2 linked regions of the Cricetulus griseus genome follow. Each later gene encodes a partner of the first gene's protein in a complex. Links are inferred from orthologs where the notes say so. Each region holds a gene or a part of one and is shown on either strand. Other genes may lie near its edges.

The links.
Region 2: the proteins of Nudt21 (region 1) and Cpsf7 are in contact, whole or in part, in a crystal structure (PDB 3N9U), measured with the Homo sapiens proteins. The link is inferred for Cricetulus griseus from reciprocal best matches to the Homo sapiens genes NUDT21 and CPSF7. Residues at the interface, in NP_008937.1 of Homo sapiens: Arg68, Asn152, Glu154, Pro156, Tyr158, Tyr160, Pro162, Ala163, His164, Ile165, Thr166, Lys167; in NP_001129512.1 of Homo sapiens: Trp91, Trp92, Thr93, Thr94, Asp95, Gln96, Glu112, Lys114, Phe115, Glu117, Asn118, Arg119, Ala120, Asn121, Gly122, Gln123, Ser124.

What each region holds. Positions count from the first base shown.
Region 1 is NC_048596.1:170,214,408-170,217,993, reverse strand, and holds the end of Nudt21 (cleavage and polyadenylation specificity factor subunit 5), read left to right. Parts: intron 1-1,289; coding exon 1,290-1,404; intron 1,405-3,151; coding exon 3,152-3,173; 3' UTR 3,174-3,399; downstream 3,400-3,586. UniProt on the Homo sapiens protein: Component of the cleavage factor Im (CFIm) complex that functions as an activator of the pre-mRNA 3'-end cleavage and polyadenylation processing required for the maturation of pre-mRNA into functional mRNAs.
Region 2 is NC_048596.1:49,926,788-49,930,373, forward strand, and holds part of Cpsf7 (cleavage and polyadenylation specificity factor subunit 7), read right to left. Parts: intron 2,849-3,586; coding exon 2,434-2,848; intron 947-2,433; coding exon 828-946; intron 1-827.

The DNA.
Region 1 (3,586 bases):
TCTAACTAGAGCTTCAAGTATGAGATTATTGTATTTTTAGTAATTTTTTGTAGTTCAGTTGTTTGTTAGTATTGATTCTTACATGGTGGTAAGATTAAAAACCTCAAGATTGTCTTTTAAAGAGTCTTCAGACCTGTTATGTTTTAACAAGTAACTATTCCACCCCAACATCCCATCCCTACCCCACTCCCCCCAAAATCTTGAACTCCTGATTCTAACACCTTCCCTCTCAAGTGCTGAGATAACAGGCTTTCACTGCCATCCTGGGCTTTTGTGGCAGGTTCTTGCTATATAGCCCAGGCTTGGCTCCAAATCAGCCAATCTTTCTCTCTCTATTGCGCACGTGCGCGCGCGCAGTAGTGGGAACTAAACTCCAGTCCTCTGGAAGAACAGCGATTGCTCTTAACTGCTGTGTCATTTTTCAGCCAGCCTGCTTGCCTGCCGGCTGGCCCACCCTTCTCCTTTCCCTCCTCTCTGACTGAATATCCTTGGAAATGCTGTAATTGACCTGGAGCTCCTCAATTAGGCTAAACTGGCTGGTCACTTGCCTCCACTTTACTGGCACCAGGGTTATAAGCACACACATCATATGGGTTTGGGGGATTAAACTCTGTTCCTCATGCTTGGAAGGCAAGTCTCCAAATCTTGATCCTCCTGCTTTAGCCTGTGGAGTGCTAGAATTTTCACAATGTCTGGCTCTGTTTCTTGCAATAGTTTAAGATGAGAATTAAAAATTAAATTACAATCCCAAGGCAATTCTCATCTTGCTTTTTAAGATATTTATTGGCATTTCTCTCTTGAGAGGTTAAGTTTCAAATATATTTCTATAGTCTCTAGAAGACATAGATAACCCAAAATGATGAATGAGAATTGCCTTTCTCCATAAAAGTTTTTTTCAGGCCTGGGGAGGTGGCTTAGGAAAAGTGCTTACTGTGCAAGATTCAGAACCTGAGTTTGGCCCTTCAGCACTCATGTAAGAAGAGGAGCGCAGTGGTACACCTCTGTAAGCCTAGACTGCCAGGCAGAGATAGATAGGTAGAATCTGGGGGTTTCCCTGATCAGCAAGCCTAGCCAAAACAGTGAGCTCCAGGTTCCCCGAGAACCTAAGGAAATTAGGTGGGAAGGGGTTGAGAAGACACCCTGATGGCCACCTCTGGCCTTCACATGTGCTTGCATGGGCGAACACACATCACAGCTTTTCTCAATGTTAAGTTGACTAGTCACAAGGTGGGAGTAAATATCAAATGGAATTAAGGAAATGGAATACTTTTTTGTTGTTGTTTTTATAGCCTTGTTTGCAGTCCCGAAAAATTACAAGCTGGTAGCTGCGCCATTGTTTGAATTGTATGACAATGCACCCGGATATGGACCCATCATTTCTAGTCTTCCTCAGCTGCTGAGCAGGTATGGGAGGTTAAACACTTCTGATGGAGTTATGTAAAATGTCTAGTTAAAAATATTTGGGAGGCAGAGGCAGGTGGATCCTGTGAGTTCGAGGCCAGCCTGGTCTACAGATCGAGTTCCAGAACAACCTCCAAAGCAATACAGAGAAACCCTGTCTAAAGCCCCCTCCCCCCCAAAAAAAAATATTTGGAGCCCCTTGAGAAGTTATAGTTCACAAATTTTAGGGCTTAAGGAAAATAAAGACAGTCCGTGGTTTTTTTCCTCCCCTTCCTGAGACACAGGTTTCTCTGTATAGCCTTGGCTGTTCTGGAACTAGCATCATAAACCAGTCTAGCCTCAAACTCAAGAGATCTGCCTGCCTCTACCTTCCAAATTCTGGGATTAAAGGTGTATGCCAGCATGAGTAAATTCTTATGTGTATGTAATCGATAGATTAAAATACCACTAAAAGTACCCCAAGACTGAAATCATGGAATGATGCTCTTGTATGGTTCTTTCCTTAGATCTGGTATCTTCCACAGGTAAGTTTGAGGTGTATTCAAAGAAGAGATGGTAAAACAGTAAATATATAAAATATGAAGTGGTTGTCTACATAAAAATGTGGAGCCGAGAGGTGATGGCGCATGTCTTTAATCCAGCACTTGGGAGGCAGGTGGATCTCTTGAGTTTGAGGTCATAGTGGTCTACAGAGTGAGTGCCAGGGCAGGCTCCAAAGCTACACAGAGAAACCCTGTCTCAGTCAAATCTTTTAATATAGTTTATTCTCTTTCAGTTTTTGGAACTTACTGTACTTAAGCCTGAATTGGTAAAATGGGATACAGTCTTATAGTTTTATATGGAGTCTGAATTTTGAGGCAAATAGGTGTGTGTGTGTGTGTGTGTGTGTGTGTGTGTGTGCATGAACACACTTTTCATTCTTGAACTTTCAGTAAAATTTTGTGGATTATGCAGTTAGTATTTGGATTTGAATCCCACTTTTTTTATGATTTGTTTTTTATTTTGTGCCCATTGGAGTTTTGCCTGTATGTAGATCTGTGTGAAGCTGTCAAATCCCCTGGAGCTGGAGTTACAGAGAGTTGTGAGCTTCCAGGTGGGGGCTGGGACTTGAACCCAGGACCTTTGGAGCAGCCAGCCTTTGCTCTTAACTGTGGACCCATCTCTTCTACCCCCTTTCAATACTTGCTGGTAGTACAACTTTGGACAAGCTCTTACACTTGTTCGATAGATACTTCATATGCAAATGAGGACGGTAGTTCCTTCATAGGACTGTGGGGACCAACTCAGATAACACATATAAAATGCTTAGAACATAGTACCTGGAAGTGCTTAATACATGCTAGTTTAACAGTCATGGTGTTAGTTTCTGTGGATTGTAGAACTGGCTTGGTGATTGTAGTACTGGCCTTTTTACTTTGTCACTACTTCCTTCAGTTTTTGCTCCTCTGCTTTGGCCTCTTGCTATATCAGGTGACATACATGAGCATATGTATGCACAGAGCAAAGGAAGTGTAACAATGTTTTATGTCTTGAAGGAACTTTTGTAGTTCATAATTAACCAAATTTACACTGTTAATGTTCCAGTGGTAAGTAGTATATAAGCATGGCCAATGAAGGCCAATTGTCTTAGTATAGAAATGCTAAACATGTCCAAGGGGGAGAAACACCCCGGTAATTCCTTCGTTGTTTAAGGTGGGAGCTGTAAAACTAATAATGTTTTTAATAATAGTTTTCTGTTTTTTAAACTCAGGTTCAATTTTATATACAACTGAATTCCTGCACAGAAGTAACGAAGCCGTCTCTGTGAGCACAGCTTACACACATAGAAGAATTGTAGAGAATTTTTGGTTTTCTCTTGTTCCCTAAATTGCCACCTCCTTCCTGTTTGAAGAGTAAAATTAATATGAACTGGATAGTGGTGTAAACATGTGACAGTGTTCATTAATTGTTTGTTCTACTCATACATTTTTTTGTACATTAAAAAAGGTGGACTTCCTATTTGTATTATTATTTTTTTAAGTTTCTCATTAAACTCTGAAAAATCTTATAGTTGAGGATCCTTTTTTCCCTGTTTTAGTCTGGGGAATGTTAAAACATTCTTGTGGTTTAGATGAGGTGAGCTTAATGGGCCTTTTGCTTCAATACTGTTGTAGGCATATAGTCTGAGACTATTATAAGTGTTTCC
Region 2 (3,586 bases), about 120 Mb from region 1:
GAAACTGACAAGAACACATACTTGCTGTTTTTAAACTACTCTGTGGAGTCAAACTGAAACCAAAGATCAGAAATTAGGAAAACAGATTAACGGCGCTAACTTACTTCTTTGGGTACTGACAGTCCACATACATTTAGATCCACGTGGGAAACCCCCAGGAAGAAAGTGAGCATGACTTGGATCAGAGCCCCCAACCTTTCTATTCTAGTATGCCAGGCCATTGCTCTGCCACTGAGTTCCATTCATAAACTTCCCATTCTATACCCTCCTCTTTTATGCCCAGGGCTTTCAGAATGGTAGCTACTGATTCTTCTGCTAATGCTGAGAGCAGGGCAAGTTAGCTGCAAGGGTGTGATATGCCTTAGGATGGTAACAAACTTGTCTTCCTAGAAGAGGCTACCCACAGACTACTAGCTCCACCCAGATTTTAGTCTAACAGGTCCATTACCATAGCACTATTTAGCTGAGGCACTAAGTCTAAAACCCTGGGGCTTTTCAATTCTACTTGGTCCTGGAGTTACCGAATAGACACAAGGTCTAAAGATTAGTTCTGAGATAAGGATCTCCCAGAGATAGCAATTACATTCTACAATAAATATAAAAAGGAAATAGTGTCTATTACTCATAGTGTAGCTACTGAGTTGGTTTCTACAGAGCAGGTCTAGACACATGACTAGACCTTCCCCAAAGCCAAGAAACTACGTCAAATACTTCGTTTGAAGTGCATATCTTCTGACATTTAACAGCATTCCAATTTTTCAAACTTTTACAAATGGAAATGACAAAGGGGAAAATTTAAGCAAAGGCAGTAAGTAAGGGTTAATTACCTGCACTGGCTCCAGACACTGCTTTGGAAATGGCACTGCTGGAAATTGCTCTGTTACGCTTCATTATCTCTTCAAATTCAGCTTCACTCACTGTAGAAGGCGGAGGGCCTGAATCTCGGCTGCAGAGAGGTAACACCAGGTCAGACTACCCACATCCTTTATTACTTTTCACCATATTCTATAGTACTGTTTTTCAATTCTTCTCTAGGATATGTCTCAAATGTTCATTTTTTTCTTCAAGGTCAGGATTTATGTCATATATTATGTTCATAATTTTGGTTTGACTCAAAAGTAATAATCACTGTAGCACTTGCAAAAGCCATTTATGGCACCAAGTTTAATCAAGCTACTTAAACGGAGTTATGAAAAATATGATTTGGGTCAGGTAGGGAAGGTGAAAACAAAATACTAAATAAAAAAACTGATGGAACTGGGGGAATTAACTTAGCCAGTAAATGCTTGCCAGGCAAGCATGAAAACCTGAGTTCAAATGCCCAGAATCCATATAAAAATACCAGGAATAGGGGAGGATGCTTATAACCCCAGTGCTGGGAAAGTAGAGACAGGTGGATCTCTGGGGCTCACTGGCTAGCCAATTTAATCTACTTGGTGAGCTCCAGACCAATGAAAGACTGTCTTAAGCAAGGTGAACAACATAATTGAAGATGACACCAAATGTCCTTTGGCTTCCACATTCGAGTGTATATGAGCACACATGTAGGGGCTGGAGAGATGACTCAGAGGTTAAGAGCACTGACTGCTCTTCCAGGGGTTCTGAGTTCAATTCCCAGCAACCACATGGTGGCTCACAACCATCTGTAATGAGATCTGGTGCCCTCTTCTGGCCTACAGGCATACATGCAGGCAGAACACTGTATACATAATAAATAAGTCTTTAAAAAAAAAGAGATGTTTAAAAAAAAACACACATGCAGCAGCACACATGTGCACTTGCACATACAGGCATGCAAAACATGCCTCTGACAGATACTAATCTATATCCCAGGACTCAACATCACAAAATTATAGAGGAAACAGCATCAGCATTCAGTACTAATTCATATGTACTAATTCATATAAAACAAATGTCTAAAATACTCCCCTCCACCCTCCCTTCTTCCCTCCCTCTCTCTCTCTGCTTTTTTTTTTTTTTTTTTTTTTTTTTTTTTGAGACAGGTTTCTCTGTATAGTTCTGGCTGTCCTGGAACTCACTCTGTAGACCCAGACTGGCCTGCCTCTGCCTGGCAAAATACTGTCTATTAATTTAAGTTAGAGGTCAACCTAGTCTACATAGTGAGACCCTGTCTCAAAAAATAAACACAAAAGCCATGTGTTGTGGTGCACGCCTTTAATCCCAGAACTTGGGAGGCAGAGGCAGCTGGATCTGTGAGTTCGAGGCCAGCCTGGTCTACAGAGCAAGTTCTAGGACAGGCTCCAAAACAATACAGAGAAACCTTGTCTCAAAAAATAAAAACAAAAACAAAAAACAAAAAAACAAAACCCAAACCAACCGGCCAACCAACCAACCAACCAACCAACCAAAAAACAACACGTAAATAAAAACACTAGCTACTATCCTGGCTCAAATCTGCAGGGAAATAGTTACCTGCCATGGTGGTTATAGGGTGTAGAGGCCTTCATATAAGTATCTGGTGGAGGCCCCACTGTAGCATTTGGTGGGGGGAAGAAGGCTGGATTGAGGTGAAGGGCTGGTGGAATGGCCCCAGGGGGAGGTACAGCCAGATGAGGAGGTAATCGAGGAGGAGGGGGCATGAGATGCTGGTAGTGGATACCAGGAGGAGGAGGGGGGACACCAAAGCTTGAGGAGAGAGGTGGTGGGGGTGGAATTGGGGGTGGGGGCAGACCCATCAGGGGAAGGGCTGAAGGAGGACGGTTAAAGTAGGGCAACACGCTGGGGGGCTTATCCACACGAGCAGATGAGGGTACAAGGTTCTCAGAGGGAGTTGCCCGTCCATCAGCAGAATCACTAGAATCTCTGGAGTGGGCCCGTGGAGGTATTCCTGCAAAGCAAAACAGAGCTAATGTTACTGCCCAGGCAGGTTCTGGACATAACAACAGGACCCTCATCCCTCAGCAAGTCATTGGTCACCATACTGAAGATGACAAGTGAAGCAGCTGAGAGAAGCAGCAAATCATTTGGTGCCTTTCTGTTGGTCTGAGTGGAAAGAATGACAAGTGAAACAGCGGAGAGAAGCAGCAAATCATTTAGTGCCTTTCTGTTGGTCTCAGTGGAAAGATCAGAAGTATCTTTTTAAGACAACCCTCCAAAGCAATATGATTCCTAAGTCCTGTATGTCAAAGGATCCTCAAAGTGCTTAGAACACATTTAACCCTTAAACATATTTCCTGTTTTCAAATACATTCCAAACAACCCATGAGAAAATGATGCTGAGGCATTCTCACTGATGTTCTGCTCGATTCTACCTGCCCTGAAATCCTATATCCCCCAGAGTTCAGAGACTCTTAAGGCTACTACAAGTCGACCTTCTTTATTATGCTGTACTCTAGAAAAATTCTCTTTGCCATAGAACTCTGGTCATAAAATTGAAAAACTATCGGAAAAGCAGGAGACAGAGCCATTCTCTATTCACATAATTCTTAGAGAGCCGGCTTTGCTTTCTTGAAGTAGACCACAACAGAACATGATAGTATAGCCTTGAGAGTCTTGCAGGTAGAAAGGTGCTTAGCAAATATGGAGGAGAAAAAGAATGCTTTTTACAGTAGAACTTACAGTCAGG